4 linked regions of the Diceros bicornis minor genome follow. The protein of the gene in region 2 interacts with the protein of the main gene of each other region in a pairwise test. Links are inferred from orthologs where the notes say so. Each region holds a gene or a part of one and is shown on either strand. Other genes may lie near its edges. The genes, in order: HNF1B, PCBD1, trefoil factor 3-like and HNF1A.

The links.
Region 1: the proteins of PCBD1 (region 2) and HNF1B interact in binary tests that used the Homo sapiens proteins (3 or more experiments, as listed by UniProt). The link is inferred for Diceros bicornis minor from reciprocal best matches to the Homo sapiens genes PCBD1 and HNF1B.
Region 3: the proteins of PCBD1 (region 2) and trefoil factor 3-like interact in binary tests that used the Homo sapiens proteins (3 or more experiments, as listed by UniProt). The two-hybrid records come from large-scale screens. The link is inferred for Diceros bicornis minor from reciprocal best matches to the Homo sapiens genes PCBD1 and TFF3.
Region 4: the proteins of PCBD1 (region 2) and HNF1A interact in binary tests that used the Homo sapiens proteins (3 or more experiments, as listed by UniProt). The link is inferred for Diceros bicornis minor from reciprocal best matches to the Homo sapiens genes PCBD1 and HNF1A.

Annotation. Positions count from the first base shown.
Region 1 is NC_080757.1:25,012,430-25,019,307, reverse strand, and holds the start of HNF1B (hepatocyte nuclear factor 1-beta), read right to left. Parts: upstream 3,008-6,878; 5' UTR 2,908-3,007; coding exon 2,564-2,907; intron 1-2,563. UniProt on the Homo sapiens protein: Transcription factor that binds to the inverted palindrome 5'-GTTAATNATTAAC-3'. Binds to the FPC element in the cAMP regulatory unit of the PLAU gene. Transcriptional activity is increased by coactivator PCBD1.
Region 2 is NC_080745.1:35,376,010-35,383,628, reverse strand, and holds the start of PCBD1 (pterin-4-alpha-carbinolamine dehydratase), read right to left. Parts: upstream 3,001-7,619; 5' UTR 2,929-3,000; coding exon 2,926-2,928; intron 140-2,925; coding exon 8-139; intron 1-7. UniProt on the Homo sapiens protein: Involved in tetrahydrobiopterin biosynthesis. Seems to both prevent the formation of 7-pterins and accelerate the formation of quinonoid-BH2. Coactivator for HNF1A-dependent transcription.
Region 3 is NC_080766.1:42,007,994-42,015,227, forward strand, and holds trefoil factor 3-like, read right to left. Parts: upstream 3,018-7,234; coding exon 2,936-3,017; intron 1,550-2,935; coding exon 1,403-1,549; intron 533-1,402; coding exon 419-532; intron 242-418; coding exon 228-241; downstream 1-227. UniProt on the Homo sapiens protein: Involved in the maintenance and repair of the intestinal mucosa. Promotes the mobility of epithelial cells in healing processes (motogen).
Region 4 is NC_080774.1:17,393,523-17,401,158, forward strand, and holds the start of HNF1A (hepatocyte nuclear factor 1-alpha), read left to right. Parts: upstream 1-4,629; 5' UTR 4,630-4,667; coding exon 4,668-5,005; intron 5,006-7,636. UniProt on the Homo sapiens protein: Transcriptional activator that regulates the tissue specific expression of multiple genes, especially in pancreatic islet cells and in liver. Binds to the inverted palindrome 5'-GTTAATNATTAAC-3'.

The sequences.
Region 1 (6,878 bases), on a different chromosome or scaffold from region 2:
TCTCCGACCACAGAATTCACGTGTATTCGCCGGGAAGAGCCCGGAGAGCTGGTTATGGTTTTTTATTGAAAATACAGCTCATGCTTGGGGGTTCCCAACCCGAAAAACACACCGATCCAGAGAAGCGCGCCCGGCCATTGTGCTCGGAGCGCAGGTGTCAAACGCCCGGCCGCGGCGCCCGCATCTTTCGCCCAGCACGCTCCTTTTCGAACAATGACTTCGCTGCCCACGAGCAGAAAAGCCCTGGACCCCAGCACAGGTCGCCACGCGTTCGTTAAGAAGCCGCCACTCCGGCTTCTACGAAGCAGCCAACTTTCCAGAGGCCACCGGCGCGCCAGCCTAGAGGCCGCCGGGCGAGGCGGCTCTCACCCGGGGCCGGAGCCCGGGGAGAGAGCGCAAAGGCCCCGATCTTCCTCTCTGGCCTTCCTCTTCTAGGAGGTATAAAGCGCGTCCAGGCGCTCCCCAAAGTGCCTCTTCTTGTTCTTTTCTTTCCGCTTTCGGGGGGAACAGGGTGGGCAAAAAAGGCGGTGGGAGTGTCTGGCGCTCAGGAGCCGACTGTGCAGTGACCTGGGAACCGCTAGCAATTTCTTGAAAAATTACTTTAATAAAGTCCGACTGCTCCCGAAGGTGGGAGAGGGAAGGCAGCACCCGCTTGGGCAAGGGAGAAAAACCTCTGGGTCTGTCCTGCGTGCCCAACCCAACGGGGGTCTCGGGCCCCCGAGCCTCCCTCCCCGCCCCGCTGGAGCCGGGGCTTTGCAGAGGGAAGAGGGCTGAGGTCCGGGACCCTGGGCCGCGCCTGGCTCTGCGCCGGCCGGGCCTGCAGGTGTCGGCGGCTCGGGCGCTCTGGCAGCCCGGGTCGGGCGCCAGGGCTCGGGGCGGCGCGGGGGGCTTAGCTGGGAGCGCCCCGCAGCGCAGTGCGAGTGCGCAGGGAGCGGCGGACAGTCCCGCGTCCGCGTTTTGATTTCCTTCCCCCTCTAAGCCGCGTTTACAACTTCACCAATGAATAACCCGCCTCTCTTTTCAACCTAATCACGACTCTTTGTGTATCTTTCTGTTGATGATTTATAGAAATAAATTAATAACACCCTAACTCCACGTGCTGCAGTTTATGTTACATCTCTGCTGCGTCCAGCTCCGCGCGGGGCTGGGTGCGGAGGGGCGCCCTAGGTCGCCTCGGGCTTCTCAGATCCTCCCGGAGCCCCGCTAGAAAGCGGGCGCCTGCAGCCAAGAGGATGGGCCTAGGCCTCGCGGGCTCCCAGTGGCCGGCGGCGGGAGCTCGGTTAGTCTGCCAGGCCCTGGTCAAACTCCGGGCCTCCCTGCGCCCCAGCCTCTCCTCTTCCGACCCCTCACCTTCCTTGCCCTAACCCCGGAGGGGGAGAAACCGCCGCCACGCGGGGAAACCGCCGGGGAAGAACCCCAAACCTACGTATTGTAGCAAAAATACTTTGGGGGGGAAAAATCTAGAAGTCCCCGATTGTCTTTGCTAGAGAGAAAACCACCGGGTCCCCAAATAGCAAATTCAAATACAAGGTCATATCCCATCCCAAACTGCCGCTGCGGGCGTGCGACCGAGACTGCCCGAGTCCCGGGCGCGACTTCGGCCCTGGCCCTGCCTTGAAACCGCGGTGCTCAAGTGTCCGAGGCCACGCGAGGGACTCGGTCCTAAAGCGGAGTGGCAGGGACCGACGTGCGGTCTAAGGGAACCGCTGGGCTCCTTGGATAATTAGTAACCAGCTGTCAAAGCCCTAGGCCGGTCGGAGAGGCCCAGCAAACGATCCCGGACCGATAGATAGACAGCCGGCCAGCCTGCCTGAATTCCCCGGGGACGCCGGGGTGTCGGCGGCTAGATTGCGACCAAATCCGCCGCGAACTGGGGTCGTTTGCCCCTGACTTGCTTAGATATGTGGTTTCTTTTGCCCCTTGCGGGTCCGCCCTGACCTTACAACATGCAAATATTTCCTTTTGCAAATCTCAGCTGGCTTTGGGGATTCCGGATAACCCTGGGGCCTTGCATGGGCGCTGCGGATGGGAGTGCCCACCAGAGAACTCGCCCCCTGGATTCCGGCCCCAGGGGCCGCCTGTCCCTCTGCAAAGAACGGCAGGACGCTGGTGCCCGAGGCTGGCCTGCGGCTTCCCCGACTAGAGAGAGACGGTGCCCGGGAGAAATGCGTGGCCTGCGGCTTGTGCGGGCCTGAGCCTCTGCTCCTGGGAAATCACCGCTGTTTCACAGCACCCACGCGCACCTTCAGTCGCGTGGGCAAACCTCGCGGCAAAGGGCTCCGCCGCTCGGGTTCTCCCAGGCCGAGCCCCAGCCCGGCCGACAGGGCCCTTCGGGTTTCAGGCTCTGGCCTGGGCAGGGGGAGATGAAGCCTCAGGGCTCCGGGCCGTCCGGTTGAGGGATTGGGAGGGGTCCAGGTGTTGGGAGAGAAGCGGAGCGCCCCCCGGGGGACTTCTCTGGTGGGAAACAGGCTTGGCGAGAGTCGTCTGGCGCAGTGTCGCTCAGGCACAAGGCCAGGGGCTCAAGGGGCTCGGGTGTGTACTCCCCACCTCGATGGGCGCCTACCTGAGCATTCGGTCCACCTCCGCCCGCTGCTCCGCCGCCTCCTCGGTATTGAGCGCCTGCAGCTCCTTGAGGATGGGAGGGGTGTCATAGTCGTCCCCGTCCTCGGAGCCCTCGTCTCCGGACAAGCGGCCCTTGGAGTGGCCGTTGGTGAGAGTATGGAAGACCGGCTTGGTGTCTGGCTCGGCCCCGCTCCCAGGGGACAGGGGCAGCGTCTCCAGTTTCACCCCGAAACTCGGGGATGGCAGCAACTCCTCCAAGGCCTGGACCAGCACCTCCTTGGTGACCCCAGAGCTCAGCAGGGCGCTCAGGAGTTCTTGCTGGAGCGACGTGAGCTTGGACACCATTTTCCAAGGACAGAAAAAGAAGGGGGTGAGGGGGTGGGTGGGTGTGAGAGAGGAGGGTGGAGGGGAGTTTCACAAGCGAACCCTAAGTCCAGGAACCCCCCCACCCTTCAGCCTCCAGACACCTGTTACTCTCCGGGGTCCCGGAGTCTCCTCCGAGAGGAGTCAGAAAACTTCTAACTTGCCATGATCGCCACCATTAGGCCATATAAGATATGCAAATTAGCGGGGAGGGCCCGGCTTTCGGCAAGATGCAAATGATGATGGGGAGGGGGAAAACCGAGAGAGAGGGAGAGCAAGAGGGGCAGACGAGGAGAGCTGGAGACCCGGGCCGGGAGCGGGGCTTGCCAGGGTCCATTGTACTCACGCTGGGGGGCTGAGGCCCTTCTTGTACTGGTTCTGTTTATCAGCCAAACTTTAGCTGACCTTTGGACTTGTTAAGCAAGTAAGCTTGCAGCCTTGCGTGGAAGGTGCAGGGGCTTTTCCACAGGCTGCGGGTCCGGCTTTAGTCTGCCGAGAAGAAGAAACTGCGCTTCGGGGGTTCAGGTGAGAGCTAGAGGAAGTCGGGGTGCTCTTGGGAGAAGGAGGTGGAGGAGGATGCGGGGAGTAGAGACCCTCCGAGGCATCTTAACCGACGCAGGTGGTGGGCCGGGAGCCAGCCCCGCGGAGGAGAAACTGACCACTTGGGAATGGACGCAGAGACCTGGGAGAAATGGGAGGTGTTCGGCGGGGTGAACGCGGATTGCAGGGACCCCATTTAGTTCTACCTGGGGTACCGCTCTGCGCTCACCAACTCGGTCTGGCGATTTGGGTTTGCAGAACTGCCGGCCTGGAGAGCGTAGGCGAGCGGGAAGGAGGCCCAGAGAACCCTTGGAAGGAGGCACCGATTAATTTATGGCCAGAGGGAGTAGCCAAAGTTAGCTCCCCCAGCAGCGAGCTGCACCAGCACCCAGCCTGGCCAAGCCGCGGGAGAGCTGGACGCCTGGGCCACGCTCGCGTTTAAACCCGGAATATCAAAGCGCCTCCGCTTTCGGGGCAAAACTAGGATTGCGGGGCCCCCTTTCTAGCGGTGAAAGCAAAGCTTGGCCTGCGGCTGGATGGACAGTTGGAGCCGCTTGTCCTCCCGGCCCACTGATCTCTGGTTTATTCCCAGCTCCAGGACACAGCAGTTCCCAGGGCCAGGGAGGGCGCTCTGCAGACGCGAGGTCACGGCGGCAGTGGCGGGAGAAAGCGCAAGTCGAGAAGGCGCCGACAAAGCCGCGGAGGGAAAGAAGTCGGGAACAATCTTGCAGCACGATCGGAGTTTCACCTGCATCTCCCGGGGCGCCGAGGGGAAAGGAAGGAGGCATGAGGCGCACCTAGACCTACAGGCTGGACCTGACGTGCAGACCAGGGGAAGGGGCTTCTCAGGATCCACCGCTCACAGACCCACAGCTCCTGGGGCAGAGGGCATCCCTTTCCCCTCTCTAGGCCTCAGCTTCCTCATCTGTAAAATACTGATACCTACAGTGCAGGGGACATGGAATGAGACCACCTGTGAAATTCTCAGAATCAGGCAGATCCAGTGCTAGGGTTGGAGGGACTTGGAGATTAGGGACAAAAATTTAGAATCAGCAGGGAACTTGCAAAGGAGTTTCTAAGCAATTCTCCTACCTTTTCCACCTTTAAAAGATAATTAGGAGGAAGTTGGCGTTAGTTTCGGGAAGAGAGGAATTTCAGGGGAAGAGAAGAATTTCAGCGTGGGGAGGAAGTGTCAGCCGCTCCCATCTGCTTGGTTTGAGATCAAATCCTTGGGTGTCTGAGGGCTGAAACTCCAGATGTGACTGATCCAAGTCAGGCTGCTAAGGAGCTAGGCTGCCTCTTTAAATACAGGGTCTGCTACAGATGCCTGGGCCACCTGTGCTGGGAGCAGAAAGAAGGGGGGTGGGTGTGTGCAGGGAGCCCTGGGGGAGGTTTATGCTCTCTCACTCTCTCTTTCCCTGAGAAAGGGGTAATAAGTTCATGGAAATGAAGGCCCTTCATTTCACCTTATTGTCTTCTAGTTTGTTGTGACATATGGCAGGTCTTTGCCCCTCACAATTTGGCCCAGTGGGAGAACCTTCTCTGCCTACCCAGCTCCCCTCAACCAGGATAATGAAGTGTTCAGAGTAAATGTCCCTGGAGAACAATCTCTTCTTCTCTGTCTCTCACTTGCTATCACGGTAGAAGCAGTCAAGTGTATGAAGATCATTTTCTGTGTTTAGCTGGGAAAACCCATTAAAAAACCAGCAATCACTTCCCTTTTAACAACAAAGCTTTGATTTGTAGTTCTAACTACTGTGTGCCCAGTCTGACTCTCAAGCTTCCTTATCTCTCAAAATTCAGGTGTCAGCAAACCCATTCTTCCCCCTACCCTAAGCCAACTATATGAACAAACAGGAAGTTTCACAGAGTACGAGGAAACTTCCTATGAGTGTCCAGGTATGTCTTCCAGGCAATCTGGTTATGCAGATCCAGCAACTTCCTGAAATCCTCCTGCCCAGACCTACCTTGTCTAAGCCACCTGGTGTAGTATGGGTGCTCATCAAGTAACTGCAACTATAGATCTGTGAACAGATTCAACGCCTACCCCGTCACATGGAAATTTAAAAAGAAAAGTGTAAGTATCTCAGTAGATAGTCCTTCAGGATGTGGGTCATAAATGCTAACTAAATGAGTGATTTGATAAAACCCTTTGGTTAAACTTCCCCCAAACAGAAGAAGCAAGAATACAGTTGAAATACTCTGTTTATGCTTCACATAGGATAAAGTGGTGATGGACTGATAGAGTAGCCCCATTTTAAAAATGAGAAAATAAGATATAGGACTTTTTAAGGAGATGGCTTGGAGCTGCTGGAGTAAATTAATGGAAGGATTGAGATTGGGGCTCTGGACTTTTGAGCAAGACTTTAGGATGAAAGAGGAAGGTCTCTAGTTTACTGCTTTGGGAGATGGAAAGTTGAAAGGGGGGATTCTATGAGGGAGAAGTGGAGGATCCACAGCAGAGAATAGAGGACAGACGCTGGAGTCAAACAGACCTAAATTTGGGTTTCAGATCTGCTTAACCAGTTGTGCAACTTGGGCACATTGTATAATCTTTCTGATCCTAGTTTCCTTATGCAGAAAATGATAATAATACTCTACTGTGTTTTTGTGAAGATTAAATGAGTTAGTAACTGCAGGGTCCTGGAATATGACAGGCTCTCACATGTTTAGAAAGAAGCAGCACATCATGAAAGCATACAAAGAAGTGATGCAGTTGATCTCTTTGGATGCTTTTATTCCCAGTTTGTTTTTTCAAGAGTTACTGAATTTGAAGACACCATATTAGGTTCTTCTACTCAAATGATGAATCCACAGTTCAAATACCAAGATTTTCTATGGGAAATGTAGTCCCTGGTGTAAGATAATTTAAAATCCAGTTGGCTCGTCACTCTATGAAGGTTTTCTGAGCACCATCTTGGAAATTTCACAGAATGGCAAATGTGGTTCCTGTGGAGTCAACCTCTCCTATAACTTGGCAACATAGGTGATATTACTTTTCTGCTCTTGTGCTTACAGTCTTCCCCCTACTTTCCATGGTTACCCTGCTTTGCTTACAGCAGGGAGAGCCTGGTCCTCTCCATCCTCTGCTGCTCCACTCTCCAAGCTTTCCCATTGATTCAAGAGAGGCTCTAGAAGGCCTCAAAATGAATCATCTCTAGAGTAAAACATAAATACTGCCCTATCTTGGTCTGAAGGAGGTTAGGGGCCTTATTGTTGGAAAGTAGCATTGTAACCTGGGGAACATTCTAGACTGCAGGGTTAGGAGCCTGAGGTTCTAGCTCTGGATACAACACTCCTTTCTGGATGACTCTTCACCTTCCCAAAGGCTTTGGTGAGCATCTTCTCTAGGCCTCTGATTCCACTTTTGAAAAATGACCGGGTAGTCTAGAAGACCACTTAAGTTCCCTAAC
Region 2 (7,619 bases):
GCCATACCCTATTGAAATCTTTGAAATGGAACTGCTTGAAGATGGCATCTCGGCCTTCCAGCTCATTCCACCCCACAGCCCTCAGGTTTGGCAGCAGCTGGTCCCTCTCCTCAGCGCTTAGCCTGTGTGCTTTGCCAGCCTAGGAGAGGAAAAACACAGAGCCCAAGGGCATTTCTTTTTACAGGACAAAAGAAAGGGCCCCAGACCTTTGGGGAAATTTAGCCAGCCTCTACTCGCTGCTCTGGACGCTGGTGACACAGTCAAAGGGCAGCTGGTCTAAAGCAACAAACTGGGAGGTGTGGAGGGTGGCGCCCTGGCTCACACACTGATAGGTTCTTAGATTGTACACCCCACTCAGAGCACAGAAAATCCTGAGGTGTAATGCAAACATCGGGACTGAGAAACACTCCTCCCCTCCCCCTGCCCCCAAAGCCTTACAGAGGCCCCCCCGCCACCCCCAAAAATAGGTCTCTTACGTTAATGAGGGAGTAAAAGCAAAATCAAGCCCAAATGTGTACGTGTTACAACACAACCTTTCAGAAAGAGTCCCCCGACAGTCCAACCGTCTTTTTCTATTATGGACCTTATCCAGTCCACCCCACGCCCCTACTGTTTTTCACTGTCAGCTGTATGGAAGAGGAAAGAGGCCAGAGAGGGGAACTGACCACTCTTCTCCTACCCCCTCACCCCTGGTCAGGGAGGGCACAGGCATCGTTCTCAAGGTGGGTATGTGTGTCCGCATGCCTGCGGCCAGGCCAAGGAACCAGCACCTAAAACACGTTCCAGGTAATTCTTAGCCATGCTGCAGTTGACACCCATGGGCACTACCTCCCAGTGGGTCCTCCATCACGCTCCTATGCAGCCTCTGCTTCCCAGCAGCCAGGCCTAGGCTTCTCTGATTTCCACCTTCTTTTCTGTTCTGTCGGCTTGGGATGCCCGAGCCACAGAGCTCAGTCCCAAAAGGGGAAGTCACTTGGCCAAGGACAACTGGCAAACCTAGTGCCCCATCCTATGTACCTACTGGGCAGCCGTGACGGCCCTTGGCACAAACTGGCCCAGTTGAGGCCATGAGCGGAGCCTCAGAGAACCGAAGGAAGCAAAGGTCAGTTCCACCCTCTGGGAGGAGCCAGGTCCAGGAGCTTAAGGGATCGCAGAATTTAGGCTCCTGAAACAACGACCCAAGGACAGAAGCTGTAGAGGGCTAAATTAAAAACCATCAATAAGCTCTGCGCGAGAATCGAGGGAGTTCATCTAGCTTTCATGAGGCAGACCGCGGACTGGAAGCTGCAGGGTGGGTTGGCAGGACTGGTTCAGGCCCCAGTTCTGCCACTCTCCAGCCAGGTGACCCGGTGGCACTCATCTCTCTTGGCTTCTTGGGTAAAATGGGACAAGAACTTCCACTCCACAGAGCAGCAGGAGGAGCCAGTGGGACACTCAGTCAACTCCACGGTTAGTAAGGAATGTCATCTGCATTGTTAAAAGGAGACTCCCTGGGGCAGGCAGGCTACCATGGGCCCTGCAGGTTGGGGCAGAACTGCAGAAGCATGGCGGCACTCTTAAGTCAATCTTTTCCTTCCTCCTGAAAACGCCTGTTCTCTCTGGACTGATCTGGTTCGTCCGTCTTCTCAGTTCCGGAAGGCTAGAGCCGGCAGCAGAGATCTGCATCACGCGCCCATCCCCATCTCTGTTCCACAGCTGGCCCTTTCTCAGTGGCTGATAAGCCTGGTCCATGTATCCAGGCAACCGGCTGGATGACCAGACATCAGCCGAGGCATCAGAACCCACTGTTTAGTTCTCTGGCTCTGAAAGCAGTGCGTGGGTACTAGTGAGCTCCTAGGAGGCCTCCCCTTCTCTTCAGAGTCTTCTGGAATCCCCCAAGTTTCACATCTGGGTACTGAACTGACAAGCCCCTCTGAGATCTGGGATCAGAGAGGGGGGAAGGGGTAGTGTTTGCTTAGTAAATCACAGGTCAGGCCTGGTGGCCTCTGTCTCTGGGAGACTGTGGGAAGGGGTTACTGATTACCATCCTTGGGGCCTCAGTGCCCCTCACAGTCAACCTCACCCGCCACCTCCCCTCCCTCCAAGCCACAGCCTTCAAAATGCCCTCTCAGGTGTCACCAGAGTCCCGACTGCTCCTAATGCTTTTGGGCCAGAAATGGGCTGTTTAGTAGGGCTTCCCGGGTCTAGCCAATCCTCTCCTCGCTGCCCGCGGGCTCCCCTTCACCTCCCTAGCTGAGGGCAGGGGGGCGGGGTTGAAGCAAAGCTGAGCACAGGGCCTGAGACCCTGCTGTGGGGAGGCTCAGCCCAGAGGAGGCATGATCCTGAGCAAGCATGTCCCCATCGCTGGGCACAGGCCTCAAACCAGGAGCCAGGGGCTGGCTCTGAGGTCGGGGCCCAGCCCCTGTGGCCAGACGTGCAAGCGAGGAGGGCAGTAGACAGGCACGGAGAGGAACACACACATTCGGTCTCCCCTCACACACACGCGTCCCCCACCTCTAATATGGAGCAGAACCGTGCCTCCGAGGGGACGAAATCTGCGGGCTCACTGTGCTGCCCCTCCCCACGCACGCCCTGGAGGTCACGAGGCCCCGCCCGCAGCATTGCGGCGCCGAGGGGACACTGGCCTGGGAGCAGGGGCAGGCCTGGGCTCCCGCCTCTCTGACACGCGGACCTGCCGCCCCCCCTCCCGGCCTCAGCTTTCCCGGGGCACCACCGCGGGTGGGAGCGGGGCGGAGACCCCCACTCTCCAAGGCCGGCGGCGGCTGGTCTGCCAGGGGCTGGGAGGGACCCTCACCCCACCCCCGCCCCGCCCGCGCGGCCGGCCTGGGCGGGGACCCCGCGCGGACCCCTGCCTCTCCTCCGGCCCTCCCACGCGCCCGTTCCCAACGGGGCTGCCCCGGTGGCGGCGGCACGCGACCCCCTCACCATGTCGGGGCGCTGCGCGGACGCGGGCGGGCGGCAGGTGGCGGCGGCGAAGGCGGGCGCGGCGCGGGGCGCCCTGGGCAGCCGTCGGGCGGGGCCGCCCCGGGGCGGGGCCGCGGCCGGGGAGGGGCCGCCCAGCGGTAATCTTTAACTCGGGCCGCGGCCGCGCGCTCGGCCTCTGCTCCCTTCCGGCACTTTCCTGGGTGCTGTTACCGGGGGCTCAGAGGTTAAGTACGCCGGCTCCAAATGCGGACTTCTGCTTGTGAATCGTGCTCTACCACTTACCAACTGTGTAACCCTGGGCGCGAGATTACCGTTTTCTTTTTTAAAAACACCTTATCGAGGTATTGTCCTGCAGTAAACTGCACGTATTTAAAGTGTACAATTTGATGCGTTTTGACATACATATGCTCCCGTGCAACCATCACCAGGATCAAGATCATGAACACATCCATCACCCCTAAAAGTTTCCTTCTCCATCCTCAGACAGCCATTGATCTGCTTCTGGTCACTCTAGATTAGATTGCATTTTCTAGAATTCTGTGTAAATAGAAATCCTACGGTTTATACTCTTTTTGTGTCTGGCTTCTTTCACTCAGCATAATTACTTTGTGGTTCACTCATGTCATTGCATATATCAATCGTTTCTTCCTTTTTATGGCTAAGTAAAATCTATTTTATAATAGTACATTGTATTGGATATGCCACAAGTTGTTTATCCATTCACTTGATGGACGTTTGGGTTGTTTCCAGTTTTTGACTATGCTATGAACTTTTGCATAGGAGTCTTTGTGTAGATATACACTTTCATTTTTCTTGGGTAAATGCCTAGGAGTGGAATGGCCAGGTCATATGGCAGGTGTATGTTTAAAACTTGTTAGGAAACTGCCAAACCGCTTCTCCAAGTGGTTGTACCGTTTTGCACTCCCACCAACGGTGCAGGAGAGGTCTAGTTCCCTCGCACCCTCACAGCTGCCCCACTACTTGATTGGGTCAGTTCTTTTAATTTTAGCCGATCTAATTGGTGTGTAGTGGTATCTCATTGTGGCTTTAGTTTGAGTTTCCTTAATGACTAATGATATTGAACACCTTGTCATGTGCTTTTTTGCCATTGGTACGTCTTTGATAAATTGCCTGTTCAAATTTCCTGCCCATTTTTTAAAATTTGAGTTGTTTGTTTTCTTATTGGATTTTGAGAGTTCTTTATTGTGGATACAAGCACTTTATCAGATTTATGGTTTGCACGTATTGTCTTTGTATTCTCACAGTGTCTTTCAAAGAGCAAATGTTCTTCATTTTGATGAAATCCCATTTAACAAATGTTTCTTTTATAGATTGATATTTTGGTGTTGTAACTAAGAAACTTTGCCTAACCCAAGGTCACAAATATTTTTCTCTTATGTTTTCTAGTTTTTGGTTTTACATTTAGGTTTATGATCCATTTTAAGTTAATTTTTTATATGCTTTGAGTTATGGATCCTGTCGACGCAAATAATCTGTAATCAGTCTATAAATCAAAATTGGGGTGAGTTTGTTATGAGCCAGGTCTGAGGACTATAGGCCAGGGGCTTCCTTACCCAAGGAAGGAAGCACACCAAAGAAGAGGAGTGTACAGAGTGATTAAATACTGTCTTGGAACAAAGAGCATACATCACATATGACGGGAATATCTTTTTTACTACTCTCACAAGATGCTTAGCTAGCACAGCAGGTCAGTGGTCACGCGGTGAGCACAGCGGGTGGGTAATCAATCCTTAGTTTCTAGGAAGAGATGCTTCTGCTTAAAGAAATGCTGACATGGGGGGAAAGCCACATCCCTATCTTTAAGGGCATTATTCTTGTCTTTGGGACACTGTAAATGTTTAAAGCGGATGTACAATGCATGCTCAACAGGCCATGTCAGGCCTTTTTGGAAAAACAAGGTCAGGCCAAATTAGTTTTAAACCAAATGGCTTCCTCACATACTCCAATATATCCTATTGCTTTTCATTTATTTATCAATCCAAATTCACTTTTTGCATATGGATATTCAATTATTCCTTTCTCCACTGAATTGCCTTTGCACCTTTGTAAAAAATCAATTGAGCGTTTATGTGTGGGTGTATTTGTGGATTCTCTATTCTGTTCCATTGATCTATTTGTCCATCTCGATGCGGGTACCACGCTGTCTTGATGACTGTAGCTTTATAAGTCTTGAAGTCAGGTAATATAAGTCCTCTAACATTAAAAAATATTTTTTTCTATTAACCTTTCTCCCTAAACTCCACTTTTATTCCTCTCCTCCCAATAGTGACCATTTTAATGTGTTAATATGCATTTTTGTTTGTACATGTTCTTGCAAAAATGTGTGTTGTTGTTTCATCTATATGTATTTTTGTTTTTTTCAACAAACAGTGCATGATTTCACTCATATGTGGAAGATAAACCAACACACGGACAGATAGAACTGTTTGGTGGTTACCAGGGGCAAGGGGGGTGGGGAGGTGGGCACAAGGGGTGAAGGGATGCACTTATATGGTGACTGATAAACAATAATGTACAACAAAAATTTCACAATAAAAATAAAATGTGTGTTGTTGTTTCATCCATATGTATTTTTGTTTTTTTAAATAGTACTATATGCTGTTATCTCATTCTTTTTCTTTCAAAACAGACTGGTTAGTGGACAGTTAATATGCATCCACGTTGCTATGTGTGTACTTAATCTGTAGCTTCTAACCGAAGCTTACTATTCCATGGCGGGAATCCCCCACGCTTTATTGTTCCACCGGTGATGGACACTCAGGTTGCTTCCAACTCCCACCACTACCACCACCTCCCCGAACACGTGAGTGTGCCACACACACACACACATGCAGGGCAAAACAACGAAGTGATGGTGCAGTGAGCATCTCTTCCAACTCAACAGCTCCCTGGCCTGGGCCGGCCCCGTGGCTTAGCGGTTAAGTGCGCCCACTCAGCTACTGGCGGCCCGAGTTCGGATCCCGGGCGCGCACCGATGCACCGCTTCTCCAGCCTTGCTGAGGCCGTGTCCCACATACAACAACTAGAAGGATGTGCAACTATGACATACAACCGTCTACTGGGGCTTTGGGGAGAAAAAGGAGGAGGATTGGCAATGGATGTTAGCTCAGAGCCGGTCTTCCTCAGCAAAAAGAGGAGGATTAGCACGGATGTTAGCTCAGGGCTGATCTTCCTCACACACACACACAAAAAATAGCTCCCTGGCCTGTGGGAAGTTTCTTAGACAACTTAAATATGGGCATAGCCTATAAATCCAGCAATCGGCCTCATGGGTACGTTTCCCAGAATAGTTCCAGCTGCTGTCCGGAGTGGCTGCACCCATCCTCATCTCACCTGCAGTGTGGGAGGCCTCCTATTTCCCTGCATTCCTCACCCAGACATCCTCACCCTTGGCTTTATTTAACTTTTTAATTTTTGCCAAGTTAATAGGTATAAAACGACAGCTTACTGTTTTACTTTGCATTTTGCTGATTGCTAATGATTCTGAGCACCTCTTCATGTGCTTGTTAGCATTTGGGGCTTACTGTTTGTAAATTGCTTTTTAATATCCTTTGCCAATTTTTAAGAACTTACAGCTCTTTTTCTAGTTGATTTGCGGGAGTTTCTATCTACAAATTAATTGCTTTTCAGTTTTAGATACTGCAAATATCTCCACCCGTTCAGCCATCCGTATACCAACTTCTTTCGTGGTGTCCTTTGTTGGCAGAAATCTTATATTTTGGTGTAATAAGATTTATCTTTTTTTCTCTACTTTATAATTTTATGCTTTTGAAGATTTATTTGATTAGTCCCCTCCCACCTCTACCATAAAAATATTTTCTCTTTTCTTCTGTTAACTTTATAGTTAGGTAAATTTAAGACCTAAATGTGAAAGCTCCCCTTGGTATGCAGCATTAGGCAGGAAGTTAGCCCATGAAACTGGACTCCCAGTGTTCACACCTATGGCTTCTGCTACTCATGGCCAGTCACTGGAGTGGGGCTTCCTGGCTGCCCAGACCTTCAGATGGCTTCAGCCCCAGCAGCCCTCTGACTTCAGTCACATACGAGACCCCGAGTGAGAACATTGCCCAGCAGAAACCAGGCAACCCACGGAACTATGAGAAATAGTAGCACATTTTTATTTTAAGCCACCAAATTTTGAGGTGGCTTGTTATACAGGAAAGATAACAGGACAAATAGATTCTGAACAAAGCTGGTACCTGAAGTGGAGTGTTAAGACCGACGGAAAACATGTAGCATTAGCTTGGGAGTGGAGGTGAGTAGAAGGTGGGAGGAAGGGTTCAAAGACGCTAAGGAGGCCTTGGGCTTCCACTGGGATGTAGAAAGCTGGAAAGAGTGTTGCTCCCACACTAACAATGAGAAAAGCTTGGATATACTACAAAATCATCACTTTCCTTCAGCTTGCTAGGGAGCTGAGTTCACAGGGCAGCCAAATGGCCTGAATTCCAAGGGGGCCCCTCCAAGGAGAGACAGACACAGACGTGCAGCCTGGCTCCCTGTGCCAGCACTCGGGGAGGAAGGGGGAGACACACAGCCTCCATAGAAGTGGGGAAGAAGAAATCAGCTAACATTTTAACAAATTGTTGGAGGCCAGATGGGTGCTGGCATATCAGTCTGGAATAGCTGGGGACCCCAGACACTGGCAGAGTTTGCACACACTGACAGCTTTTATC
Region 3 (7,234 bases), on a different chromosome or scaffold from region 2:
CGACTTGGCAGAAATAAGACACAACAGCATAAAGTCTCAGGAATGAAGACTCGTCTCCGTGCTGAGTATGGGATCTTTATTCCTTAAGACATCAGGCCCCAGACATTAGCTTTCAGGTTGCCAGGAGCAGGCTGCTAGGGAAGCAGAGACGAGCAGAGAATCGTGGGGAGGGTGCCCAGAGTGTGGAAGGTCGCACCCCAGGGTGCCCACAGGCAGTGGGCATCGCTTCAAAAGTTGCATTCTGGAAACAAAGCACAGGCGTGCATTACCGTGAGCATTCTCATCTCCCCCTACCAGCTGCCTGGCTTCTCAAGGTCAAGACAGGCTTCAAGGTCAGCGCCTAGCGCTGCCTTCTCCCCCAAGTCGCTGGGGATGTATTGAGTCCCCCACCAAATAGGAGAGTAGCCACAAGCCTCACCAAGACTCAGGGGATAGCGGCAGATGATAAATGACATGGGCCTCGGCAGGGTCGCCCAGTGCTCAAAGCGGTAGGTGTCATCCCTGGCCGAGGAGCCAAATGAATGGGGACAGCCTGGGAAGGGGCAATAGGCAACTTTCCCTCCTGGTCCCAAGGCCTTATCTGGACTCTGCCTGGCTTTGCTGGGAAGAGGAGGAGGCCCTGGCATTGGGCAGGGGCCCCATCATTGATCAGGGAGTCAGGGTCAGCTGGAATGCAGCCCCCCTCCTCATCAACCAGACAAAGGGCCAGAGTGGTCCTTTCTGGTGCTGATTCCAGGAAGGTGCCTTTCGTACCTATCTCCTTAGAAGGTGAGCCAGCCCCTGAGCTGCCAGGTGGCTTACAGCAGACCTCCATGCCCAAGATGTGGTGGGCAGGGCCGATGGAGTCAGGACAGCAAACCACCAGTGTGCATGGCCATCTACTGCTGACGTGGGATTCCCTGGGGTGGTTGTCCTGTACCCACTGCACACCTGAAGGTGGTGGGCACGGGGTGGGGGGGAGATGGCGGGGTGCGGAGTGGCACCAGGGCACCGTGCCCAGCACTGCCACTATCCGCCATCTGCCGAGGGCACGTCACAAATGACAGAGACTCAGTGGTTTGCTGAACCTGGCCTCGAATGTCGGCCCTGCTTTCCAAACCTGGTATTTTCTGTTTCTTTCCAGGATAGTTTTTAAACTAGTTCCCTCTGCATAATACCTCGACTTTGAACACATTTTTTAAATGATTGCTTTTGTATTTTGTACAAATCCCTCGGCAAGGGGACAGCGGAGGACAAGGGGGACAGCCACTGGCTGTCCTTGGCGTGAAGCCTCTGACTGAGGCCTCCACCAACGGGCAGCCTGTGGGTGTCCTGCTCAGGGCCCAGGTGTGTGCAACTTCCTGGGGACCTGGAGGTCCTTCTGCAGGGTGCGGAAAGGACACGGTGCCGGGGGCCGGCTCACCTGTCTCCCGCAGCGGCGTAAAGCACCAGGGCACCCGGGGGATGCTCGAGTCGAAGCAGCAGCCCCTGTTGTTGCACTGCTCCGAGGTGATCTCGGGGTAGCCGCAGTCCACCCTGTCTTCGGCCGGGACGGCACACTGGTTTGCAGCTGTCCGGAACAAAGCCGGGTCATTTTGGCTTCGTTTTGCGAGTTTGCATCCTCCCCCAGCTCCTGAGTTCAAAGGATGTGACCCCACCCCCACCCCCACAAATGTTTGCTTGCAGAGGACCCTCTTTCCATGTAAATATTTAAAGAGAAGCGTTCTGTAGGAAATCTGGCCATCTGCCGGGGTGTCTCTCTCACTGGTGTGCTCCCAGCCCCTTGTCAGGAAGTCGGTATGAGATGGGCTTGGGTTCCCTCCAGCTGGCAGGGGCCCATGGGAATCAGGGGTCCAAAGTTCCCCTTCACTGTTTTATCAACGAAAACCTCCTCCCTTTTTAAAAAAATGAATAGTATAATAGGAGATAAACCTTCAATAGAAAAATCACAACGCATCTATTTTCTGTCTCTTTTCTGCATCTCCCTACCCCCAAATTGTTTGACTTGTCACATCTTCCCTGTACATCCTTCAGTCTCCAATACTCATTTTTCTAGCAAGCCTGTATGTCCGAATTTCGACAAAAGTCCACTTTGCCTCAGTACCTAACTGGATTTTTTCTTAGGAAAATAGAAATCATGAAAATCTCCTAAACCTTCTTCTATTGTTGCCAGTCCATAATTTCCTACTCCAGTGGTTCCCGATCTGCTCATGTTGGGATCACTGGGGAACTCTAAAAGTTGTTGATACCCGCTCCCACCACAGACGTGCTGATGGAATTCGTGCCTCCTGGGCTTTGGCAGTTTTAAAACTTCTCCAGGTGATTCTAACGGGCACCAAATTTGGGAGCCACTGCCTCTGACATGGCTCCGTAGATAACCCAATAAAAGCCACACCCTGATTTCTTTAAACTGGGTTAATGGAACAGCCACATCCCCCATCTAGAGTTGCAATGTAATAGCTACATGAAAATTGTTTGTAGGTATTGAAACGTTCTGGAAATAATCACTTTCATTTGTCTTTCCTTCTTGTTTTGTAAGTGAGCCAAAACCATGAATAAAGATCTTTGTTGCGATTCAGAAATCTCTGGCAAAGACGGCAGTGGGAGGTGGGGTTGGGCGTCGGCTGCCGGCCAGGCAGACCTGGGGGAATCCTGGTTTCAGCACTGACCAGGACGGCTGCTTCTGGTCAGTTATGGACCTTCATGAGTCTCACTTTTCTTGTCTGTCACGTGGGGACAGCAAGACCCAGTTTTGTAGGGCTGTTGAGAGAAGATGTGTGTGACTGCTAAATGGCAATTATTGAATCAACATGGGGGCCTGGCCACATTCCTCAAGCACTCAGAAAGCCCCTGGGCCTGCATCTTCTGCGTCCCTCCCCCTCGTCATGTGAGTCCACCCAGCCACCCACAGGGCCCCTCCCTGCTGCAGGGTGGAGGCAGTCAGAGGCATACTCACACAGGCCCACGTACTCCCCGGCCAACCTGGAGAACCCGCAGGCCAGGACCGCCACCAGCAGCCACAGCACTCTGGCCTCCATGTCACGGGCGGGCTCAGAGGACATGCCAGGTCAGCCAAGAAGACTCATTTATACCCCTGTGTTTGCACAAGCACCCGGATTCTGTTTGTTGGGGACAGCCCTTCCCTCTGGCTCTGGGCCCCGCCTGCCTTTCCCCTGCACAGACTGTGAAGCCCCCAGAGGTTCTTCTATCCCAAAGCAGAGAGGGTGGTTCCATCCTACCGTTTTGGTAGCAAGCAAGGGGCAACTGTGGGTTCCAGACTCCGGGTTAGCACCTCTCTCTCAGGGAGCAGGCTGTCAATGCCCCGGTTAGCCTGGCCTGGAGGAAAGGGTAAAGGCACAGTGTGGGGCTGGGCGTCAGTCCCAACAACCCACCCAGGAGCAGTCCAGAAGTTTCCCTACTAATGACAAGAGTTCCCAGGCCACTTAACCCCAGATCAGCCCTGGGTGCTTGAAAAGACAGGTGACGACCTTGAGTCAGGTGGGCTGTGCCCACGGATGGCTCTCTCTGGACTCTTGAGAGGCGAATATTCCTCTCCTGTTTGCTTTTTTCCAGCAACAAAATATTTTTATTGTTAACTACATTTTAATAAATATACTAAGTAATCTTATTCAATACATTTTAACAAAAATAATACGTGCAGTTGGTTTTTAAAATCAGACAATACAAAAGACACACCTCATGTCCAGAAGTGTTTTTCTGGTGTTTTTCCAGAAATGTTCTCTCTAGATCTGAGCACATTTTTAACACAAATGGGAACTCACTACCTTTGCTCAGCTTGGAAAGCTGTACCTTGGAAATTGTTTTATAACAGCATATCTAAATGAGATGGGAATTTTCTGGAGGAACTAAGGCTCCAAGTTGAAGGTGGGTGTCAAAGGTTACTCTGGTCGACCTGAGGGAGCTGGGTTTGAACCTGCCTCTACAGGATCCTAAGTCTCAACTCCCCGTGCCCAGCACCCGCCCCCCCCTGCTGGCTGACCAGTGAGAGCAGGAGAGTGTGGAGTCCTGGTGACTGTCGGGTTCCCCATCTTTCTTTTCTGCCTAGGGCACTCCTATCCATCTCTTCAGCACTGATGATACCCAGTAACTCTTCCAGAACCTCAAAGTGGACTTTGTGTGTCATCCCAGAAGCAGGTGCACCTGGCTGGTCAAACATAGCCTCCGGTGGGGGTCTGGTGTTGGAGGGACCTGAACCAATCAAGGGTTCATCCACATAGCTGTCCTTCACCGAGAGACCAATGGGTCCAGACTGTACACGCCTTGGAGACAAGGACCGTGTCCCACTTTGGGACTCCCCAGGCCCAGCCCCTTGTACTCAGTGAGCCCTTGATGAATCCATTTGAGGTGACACTCGCCATCTGGTTTGCCACTCCTTCCAAGACAAGTGCAGGGGTGAAGGCAGAGCAATTTCTGTGCTGTTTGCAGGACATGTGCTTTCTTCCCAGAGGGAGAGAGGGCACCCAAGCTAAAAGATGGCACCATGTTTATGTTACTGAAAAGATCGTCCTAGGGGAAGTGGGACCTTTTCTGGCCAGACCCTCCCTCCTGCGTACCCACCCCCCAAAATACCCCCAGGCCAGGCCAGGTTGTGGATCCCGGCCAGGTTCCAGGAAAAGAGCAAACACCCCAGAAACGGGCTTAGAAGGGACAGTTATCTGAAGGCTGCCCCATCAGGGAGTATCTCAGAGTGCCCGGGTCTCCACCTGGCTGCCCTTAGCGTCACCTGGAGAGCTGGGGCAGTGTGGACACCAGGCCCTGCCTGCCCAGGCTGGCAATTCAGGGACACCTGAATTCTGCTGGGCAGCCAGCGCAGAGGACCACCCCCTGGTGTTTGACTTCAGTGTAACTCAGTTAACGTCGATTGAGCCTGGGGCTTGGGGCTGAGGAAGGACTAAGGAAGGTGACAAATCCCTGTCCTTGAAGAGTCCCCAATGGGGAGACGAGGTCATGTTGTAGTTATGACAGAGAGGCCGAGAGACGTGGTCCCAAGTCACTTCACCGCTTGTGCCTCCGTTTCCTCACCCCCACCTAGTGCCTAGCCCACTAGGGTGCCACAGAGCCCAGCTGGGCGCCAGGGACACACACAGACCACCTGCCAGGGTCCGGGCTCCCGGACCCCCGGGTCCGACAGATGTGGCAGCTGTGGCATGGCGGTGGTGGGGAGGAGCTGGATTCCACAAGGTGGGAACAGCACAGACATCTTAGAGGACAGGGGCTTGAGCCGGGCTTGGGAGCCCAGAGCAATTGAGGTAGTATTTGTGGGGAAAGTCTTTATGTGGCCCCTTGCTTCTGCTCCAGTGAGCCCTCGACCCAGGAACCCCGGGCTCCCCACCAGGGGCAGAGGATGCCCACACTGGCTTCCAGGGCTCACAGTCCCGTAGCCTTCCCAGCCTCCTTGTCCCTGAGTGGGGAGTTCAAGTTCCAGGGATGAAGCTGCCGGCCCCGGGGTCACCAGTCATTGGCCCCACCCTGAGAGCTGGCTGCCGTGCACACCCCTAAACCTGAGGTGAACATGCTCTGGTGCCTGCTGGAGGCTCTCTCCTTCCTCCTCCTCTGCAGCCGCGTCTCTGCCTGGACTGTCCTGGGAGCCCTCCCCTGCTGTGGGAGCTGGTGTCCCAGGAAAGCGAGGGCCTCCTGGGTGGATCCAAGAAGCAGGTGCTCTGGCCCTCAGTGCTGGGCCTGCAACCTCCCACCTGCGGGATGCATGACCATCGGCACATATACGTGACAAGCACGGGCTGCGTGCGGATCACGGGCCAGACAGATGGCCTGTGAGTGCTGGGCTCTAAGGACGCCAGGCAGAGTCCCTGACCTCCGAGCCCACAGCCCCGAGAGGGAGAACAAGCCTTGAAGCATGAATTGTGATGTAAAGCGACCAGGGCTGGCAGGATGCTACGCTGCAGTCATCTCATGGGGGGTGATGTCTGAACTGGATCTTGAGGGATGAGTAGGAGTTCACAGATGGGTGAGGGTCAGAAGGGCATTCCAGTCAGGGGCCACTAACTGACCACCCCCGGGGAAATATAGAGTCAATGTGGCGTCTACAGGGTTATACATTCCACGTCACCTCTCAGCTTTCTCATACTGTCACTCTTGGTTACTCAAGCCAGTAGAAAGCCAGATGGAAGAAGGGTTCAGCTAATCGACATCCCTGGGCTGGTCCTGGGGTCACATGCCTCCCCGGGGAGCTGCCTGCTGACCAGCTGTCAAATCGTTCTGCAGCTGCCTCGGGTGCAGGCCCCTCCTGTGTTCCCCGCAGTTTCCTCCTGCCGGATCCTTCCTGAGCAACCAGGACCTGAGCATAGATGTTTTGGGGAAGCATTCTTAGTGACCTATTCAGGGATGCTCCTGTGTTTTGGGGTGATTTCCACTGAGGACAAATAGGGGAGGGGGGATTAGGCCATGCAAACATGTCACTCACCAACTGTGGAGGAGGCAGGGGAGAGGACAGAGAGTCCCGGTGAGTCAGGACGGAGGCCGTGGGCCCTAGGAAGCCCCTCATGGACCCTGGGTCTCCTGCCCCCAATACGGGGCCAGTGCCCGTCCTACCACGTACGGGGGGCGTGTGACGGCCCCGGGTGTTCAGGGGACACTGAGGTCCAGATGCAGGTGGATTTGGGTGGTTCCTGCCACAGTGACCTCTAGATCCAGAGCTTCTTCGGGTTTGGAATTATTGCATCAGTCCCAGGTGCTGTTACGACAAGGAAGGGTTTCCAGGAATGAGTCAGCAGAGGACCAGGACACCGCAAGAGCAGAGATAAGTCGGAAATAAACAGAGCTGATAACCGGGGAGCAGATGTGCCCGGGGGCACGAGGCCCCACACTGACAACCCTGCCTTTTGGACTCAGATGACCAGCAGGGAGCTGAGCTCCTCACAGCACACTGTAATGGGACCCGGATAAGCCCTCAACTCTTGCCTGATGAACGCCCACGGCCCTGCACTGAGCCGTGTCCTAGGAGGACAGCCAGGAAAGGTGGAAGACTGTCCCTGAAACCCCATGGTGCAGGCAGCATTGTACAAAAGTCCCAGGCAGTGGCGGGAGACCCCAGGGAGCCGATCCTCCCACCAGCCTGCAGCCCAGATGGACAGGCCACCGCGCTCTTGGGCTTCAGATTTCTTCCCTTTGAATCAAGCCATTGTCACTAAGTGACTTCCAAGTGTGCTGGGATGGATTGTGTCCTCCCCATACCCATGTCCTTCCTGGAACCTCAGAGCATGGCTTTCTTTGGAAT
Region 4 (7,636 bases), on a different chromosome or scaffold from region 2:
CATCAGAGAGAGCTGGGTTCAAATCCTAGCTCTGCCGTGCACTAGCTAGGCAGGATCCATATGCTCTTAGAGCCTCAGTTTCCTCATCTGTAGTATGGGCTGAAAGTACCTACCCCGTGAGGCTATTGAGATGTTAAATGGATGAAAATCGCATATAGCAGCGACTGTTCAATAAAGATTTAAAGGGCAGTGGGACTCGGAGGAGGAATAGTTCAAGTTTGAATACAGGTGGGCCCCGAGGTGTGGGGGGGGTGGTGGTAATCGAATTCCAAGAGTCTGAGACTGACTGACAGGGCTCAGTGTTGCCTCCCAAGGCCAAGGAGAAGCCTTACGCCTTGCCTCAACTTTGGCCTTGCAAACAGCTGCTCGCCCGGCAGGAGAGAGTGGCGATGACGCTCAGAGCTACCACTGACGGTATATCTGCTGTGTCCAAGCCCGTCCCCTGGGGCCGCAGTTCCCAAACTGTGCGCCGAGGTGCCCCTGGGCACTGCGGACTATTTTAGAGGATTTTTGAAAGGAACACAGCGCCATCTGCCGGACACCTTGCAAACTACCAGCTCAAGGTAGTTCGCGGTTTCAATGTTTGAGGAGCTTCCTTCCTTTAGATGACGTCACAGCTTTGTAAAGCTGGGTTTATGGCAGTTGTTCTGATAACAAGCAAATATCTTGCAAAAATCATTGTGGAGCAGGAAATGAGGGTGGTAACGTCCAGTCTAATTCCAAGGGTCGAGCAGTTGTGCAGAGCCCCACAAGCCCACCCACCCATAAGCACATACTTAGCATTAAGAAGGAACTAAAATATTATTTTTTTCTTTCAATTGATGTGCATTTTTCAAGCGGCTACTAAGTTGTGAGGACATGAATACTTATTAGTTGTTTTAACCTAACTACTTATAAAAGTTAACTGTTAGTTTTTTTTATAGAGGCAGGAGGTGCCGTGAAAACATCACCGAGACACTAGAGGCGCCTTGAACTGAGGGGGTTTGGAATTTCTACGTTATGCTCTTTACAACCCTGGCAGATCCATACTTCTATTTCATAGATGAGTCAGGAAAGGCTACCCAGCAGGGGTGGGGGTGGTGTGTGGGGACAGTGATTCTCAGGAAGGCAAACTGCTCTCCCAACCTGGAGTCAGTTCAGATTTGTCCCCTGACTGTGGGGAAGGGCAGCCCTTTCTGTCTGTCTGCCTCCATGTCTGCGGGGCAGCAGGGTCAGGTTGCTGATGTCCCTTCTCCTTCATCAGAGGGGGCCCCACTCAGGGCCCAGGACAATAGCCCCTGTGTGTCCTGGGAGCTGAAGTTGGGCCCTGGGGGCCTCTCTCCTTAGACCTCCTGAAGGCTCTCCCCCCACCCACTGCTGGTCCACCTCCCAACCAAACCCACCTTCAGTCCTGGAGGCACCGGCTGGGCCACTTGGCTGCAGGAGGACCTAGCAGTTCATGAGTTCAAAGTTGTGCAAAGGATCCCGCCCCACCCTTCTCCCTCTTTCTGGTTCCCTCTTCTAGGTGAAACGTCACACAGCCTCCTGGCAGGGTACGGCAAGCAGGAGCACCATGAAACCACGAAGGGACAGCACACAGCATCGCCCCTGCCCTTCAGCCTGGACTTGAGAATCCTGCCCCCAGCAGTGAGCCCCCTTACCCCAAAGCGACTCACACTGGAGGAAAAAGAAAACACTGGAAGAAAGGTGGGGTCTCCCTTTCCCAAAGGGCAACTGTCAGCATTGTCCTGCACAGTCAGACTGCCCGGCTCTGGACGCCCCTGAGCAAGCCATTGAACCCCTCTGAGCCTCTGTTTCCTCTGCTGCAGAATGGGAATAATAACAGTGCCTACTTCACAGAGTCGTTCTGAGAGTTTAATATACGACAAAGCTTAGTGCAGAGCTAAGTATACAAGGTCGGTGCACAATGAAATTTAGCTATTCATTCATTCATTCCACAAATATTTATTGAGCACCTACTAGGTACGTACGAGGCAATATTCTAGACGCTGGGAATACAGCAGTGAACGAGACAGACAAAACCCTGCCGTCAGCAGGCTTACGTTCTAGCAGAGGGAGATGGACCATAAATAACAAACCTAATACGTAAGTAAATTCTAGAGCAGTGCTGCCCAACTGAAATATAATGTGAGCCATGTTATGTAATTTAAAATTTTCCAGTAGTACCATTACGAAAGTAAAAAGAAACAGGTGAAATTAATTTTTCTAATTTTTAATTAAAAATTTTAAAATTCACCCGATATATCCAAAATATTATCATTTCAACCAGAAGGCATTAGCCACATCTCGAGTGCTCAGTAGCCACATGTGGCTGGTGGCTGCTGTGCTGGGCAGCACAGTTGTGCAGCACGTCAGAAGGTGAATGCAGAAATGAAGACGTAATTCAGTGTTGGGGGGACTGGAGCACCCCATGTGGGAGCGGACAGACTGAGAAGGGGATTTGAGCTGACAGAGAGCTCAATTATCATTGTCAACCAGCCCCCTTCCTCCCTGCTGGCCTCGCCTGGCTGCGGGAGGGTTTTCTGGCCAATAGCATCTTATCCCTTCCTCTGTCGCCAAGCCTGACCCTGGTTCTGCAGACCCCTGAAAGATGCGGACCCTCTGGACATGCCCCAGCCTGGGGGGCGGCCCCTCAGCACCACCCCGCCTGCTCCAGGAAATGGTGTGCATCCTTTGTTTTGGGGGCTTAGGGCCACCCCGGGGGACACACAGCAGGAATTTTATCAAGGCTCTGTCTGGAGGAGGGAAGAGCTGGGTGGGGGCGTGAGGGACCAGTGCTCACCCAGGGCTGGGATTGGGGGGAGGGGAGTGAGCACTGGAGCCTGGCTTTATTTAAAATGTTGATATTTTGTTCATCCCAGGTTTTTTGCATTAATTAAAAAAATATTTTTTACTGATTCATATATCATAAAATTCAGCCTTTTAAAAAGTTCACAATTTCCGTGGTTTTTACAGTTTTGTAACACCACCTAATCAATTTTGGGACATTTTCACTGTCCCCAAAGACACCCCTGACAACCACTAACCTACTTTCTGTCTCTATGGATTTGCCTTTCTGGACATTTCATAGAAATGGACTCACAATATGTGACCTTTTGTGTCTGGCTTATTTCCCTTAGCATAAGGTCTTCCAGGTTCATCCACATTGTAGCACGGATCAGCACTGCATTCCTTTTTATGGCCGAATAATATACCACTGCATGGATAGACCACATTTTATTTATCCATTCATCTGTTCATGGATATTTACGTTGTTTCTACTTTTTGGCTATTGTGAATAATGCTGCTGTGAACATTCACGTGAGAATTTCTATGTGGGCATGTGGTTTTTTTTTTTTGTGTGTGAAGAAGATCAGCCCTGAGCTAACATCCATGCCAATCCTCCTCTTTTTGCTGAGGAAGACCAGCCCTGAGCTAACATCCATGCCAATCCTCCTCTTTTTGCTGAGGAAGACTGGCCCTGAGCTAACATCTATTGCCAATTCTCCTCCTTTTTTTTCCCTTTTTTCTCCCCAAGGCCCCAGTAGACAGTTGTATGTCATAGTTGCACATCCTTCTAGTTGCTGTATGTGGGACGCCGCCTCAGCATGGCCGGAGAAGCGGTGCGTCGGTGCACGCCCGGGATCCGAACCTGGGCCGCCAGCAGCGGAGTGCACGCATTTAACCGCTAAGCCATGGGGCCGGCCCCAGTGGGCATATGTTTTTAATTCTTTTGGATTTTGCATTCATTTTGATTTTTAATATGTTGGATAAAAATATTATTTTTCTTGAATACTGAGTTTTTGGGCGCCCCCTTAAAATTCGTGTCTGACTGGCCTACCCTGTTCCCACCCTGTGTCTTGCCCCTTGCTGGCTGGGTGACTTTGGGCAAGTTGCTTACCATCTCAGAGCCTCGGTTTCCTCTTCTGTGAAATGGGTATAGTCCCCATACCTGCTCACAGCTGGGAGGGGGACACAGTGAGGTCATGACGCACGTTATAGACCAGCACATCCCTGGCACACAGTAGACTTGTGCCAGTCGACAGTCTTTCCTACGGGGAGGCCTGGCGTTGGGCCTGATGGGAGGTGGCAACATAGATGTGACCTAGCCTTGCCCTTGAGGAGAGCTGGCCCACCTGCCTGGAACACTTGCTGCTTCTGTTCCCAGGGGAAACGTGCTGTTTCTGCTCTCCTGCCTCAGCCTGACCCCCTACAAGGTCCCTGGGGATGAGATCTGATGCTGCTCACCCCAGGGCCTCCTGGGCTCCCAGCACCTTCCACCTCAGCTGCCCTGGGCCCCCACCGCCGCCTCCCCCACCCTCGCTCTGCCCACTCCCACTGCAGGCCGCGGCTCCCGGCCCTCTGCGCTGCCATGAGGCCCGCACTTTGCAGGGCTGAAGTCCAAAGTCCAGGCCCTTCGCTAAGCACACGGATGAATATGAACCTTGGAGAATTTCCCCAGCTCCAATGTAAACAGAGCGGGCAGGGGCCCTGATTCACTGGCCGCTGGGGCCAGGGTTGGGGGTTGGGGGTGCCCACAGGGCTTGGCTAGTGGGGTTTGGGGGGGTCGTGGGTGCAAGGAGCCTGGTCTGTGCCTGCCTGCTGGCCGGCGGGCAAGGAGACAGCCCACGCGGGGGAGGCGGCCAGCTCGGTGGCCCCGGGCCGCGTGGTCCAGCGGCAGAGGAGCCATGGTTTCTAAGCTGAGCCAGCTGCAGACGGAGCTCCTGGCGGCCCTGCTCGAGTCGGGCCTGAGCAAGGAGGCGCTGATCCAGGCCTTGGGGGAGCCGGGGCCCTACCTTCTGGCTGGGGATGGCCCCCTGGACAAGGGGGAGTCCTGTGGCGGCGGCGCCGGCGGCGGCCGAGGGGAGCTGGCCGAGCTGCCCAATGGGCTGGGGGAAACGAGGGGCTCCGAGGACGAGACGGACGACGATGGGGAAGACTTCACGCCGCCCATCCTCAAAGAGCTGGAGAACCTCAGCCCCGAGGAGGCGGCCCACCAGAAAGCCGTGGTGGAGACCCTGCTGCAGTAAGGCCCCTTCCCTGTGCCCGGCTCCCCAGGGGCCCACCCGCTGCTCCTGGCCGGGCCTTCTGAGGCCAGAGTTCCACGAGTGTGGCCTCGAGCCTAGTTGTCAGGAAGGGGACAGGGCCCAGGAGAGCTTGCGTGGGTGGGGGGTCCTTGCTTGAGGTTGGAGCCTCCAGGCCCGACCTGGCCTCTGCAGAGTCTGAGTCCCCACGAGCCGCGGCTTTCAGCCCAGTGCCTGGGAAGTGGGGACATGCCCCAGGGGAGCTCCGAGACGGGGAAAAGAGGGAGAATCCACATTCAAGTGCCTGGAGAACCGGGGTGGGGGGTGGAATTTTTAGCTACCACGGCCATTTCCACTCCCGAAACCCTAACTGCCCTGCTAAGCGACAGGATGCACCGCTGGGGAGGAGGGGCTGAGGCTGGGGTTTTGGGGACTCCCCAACCACCCGGCGACTCAAGCATTCAGCCAGGAAAGCCCAGATCTTTCTTACCTGAGGGAGATGGAGCCTTGGGGTGGGGGCTGCTCCTCTTTCCTGCACAGCCTCAGGCGCCATTAGAGTCCTCCCCGTTCTGTACCCCCATCCATTGGCTGGCTCCCCATCTCCCAGAGAACTGGGTGGGTCTGAGCCAGATGCTTCCCCTCTCCTCAGCAGAGCTAACCTGGTTACTAATTACCCGCAAGCTTTATTATTTCTCTTTTGTTTTATAAATTTATAAACAGCAAAAGGCTCTGATAAGGCCTGTGATCATTAACTTGGAGGGATGGTGGCCTGGGGAGCCCTGGGCCAACCAACCTCCCACTCAGTGGGGGTGGGGGATGGGGAGTGTGGGGGTGGAGGGAGGGGGGCCTGGGGGCTCAGGGACCGCCCCTCCCCAAAGGCTCCCTAACCTCCATCCTAACAGCGGGACGCTGTGCTGAAGTTTCACATGTATCATTTTGGATAATGTTGAGGTGAACCCTGGGAGGAAGCTATGGATAACTCTGCTTCGCAGACGAGGAAACTGAGGCCCGGAGAGGGGAAGCAGCTTGACTAAGGCCACCCAGCTGGGACTTCACACCCACTCTGCTTGGTGCTCTCAGTTGCCATGACTGGGGGCCAGGGACCGGCCGGGGGTGGCTGGGGGAGCTGTCTGAGGAAGAGGCCTCTCCAGGGGACCACGTCTTTTCTGTCCAAGGTCCTGATCCCAGCTTGGGGTGGGGGAGGGCTGGATCCCGCCTCAGGGAGCCCTCAGGGTCTGCCAGGCCTCGTGAGGGCCCGGGCAGCGGGCAGGGGAGCAGCCAGGGCCCCCTGACTTGGCAGGAAGAGGAGGGCAAAGGGCCCCGCTGGGCTGCAGGGGAGGGGCAAAGAGTCAGGCATCGCCAGACCTGGGACGAGGGCCACCGGGACAGGGTGGGGCTGGGCCAGACTGGCTCCGGGCCCTAGCCGGGATTGGGGGCTCTTGAGTGGGAGCGGAGGCAGAGGGTCCAAGGGCCTTTCTTACCTGGCGGGGTGGGGCCTCTTGATCAGCAGCCCCTGTGGTGGGATGGTGGGTGAGGGGGGAGGCTGGATCCACAGCGCTTGAGGGGGGAGCAGAGGTCAGAGTGCTCCCTGGGGACCAGCAGAGACCTGGAACCTGAGGGAGAGAGGGGAGGCAGGGAGGAAGAGAGAGGATGTCGGGCGAGATGGAGAGAGAGGCCTGGAGTGGCAGAGCTGAGCAGAGCAGCGGGAGGGGAGAGGGGCTCGCACCCAGCTGGGAGAAGGGGCTCGGGAGAGACTGAGGCGCCCCAAGCTGAGAGGAGGCTGGAGTGCTTCCCGCCCGCCCCGATTGGGTTTTCTTTAATGCTAACAGCATGCTATTTACTTTCCATTTAAATTTGAGATGTTGCTATAAATTATCAACCAGCTCCTTGTTCCTGCGGAGTTTATAACTAACTACCTGGGTTACTTATTGTTCAGGTAACAAAAGGGATCTGAGAACGCCTCGAGGGAGAAAAGTGGGGCCTCTAGCCTCGGGGCACCAGAAGGAGAGGGGTGGAGGACCCTCGATGAAGGCCTGGGCACTGAGGAAGGTTAAGGCTGGAAGGGATGATGCAGAGGCAGGACTGCCAGTGGAAGCCATTTCTCTGCAGAAAGTGTCTGGGAAGAGGCAGGGGTGGGTCTGGATTCCAGGCCTCCCCAGGGTGCCCCGTGCTTGAGGCCACAGCAGGAATCTGAGCTCTTCCCTTAGATTGCCACCCTTAGTTCACCCTGTGACCTTAGGCAAGTTTCTTCGCCACCTTCTGCCTCAGTTTCCCTACCTGGACAGTGAATAAAATTCAAATTCCCTGCCCTGGTTCCCTGACCTCGTTCTGAGGGACCTCCCTGCCTCACTCTCTTTCCATCAATTACACTGACTTTGCTGATTCCCACCTCAGGGCCTTTGCATGTGCTGTTCCTTCTGCCTGGAACCCTCTTTCCAGATCTTCCCATGGCTGATTTCTTCTCCTCCTTTTGCTCAAATGTCACCTCCTCAGGGAGGCCTTCCCCAACTACCCCATCTAAAGGTAGGCCCACCCCCGTCACTCTCTCGTCCACTACTTTCATTGACTTTCTCCTGTCCCTTATCATTATGTAGGATGATCTGATTTGTTTATCTGTTCATTTTCTATCTCCT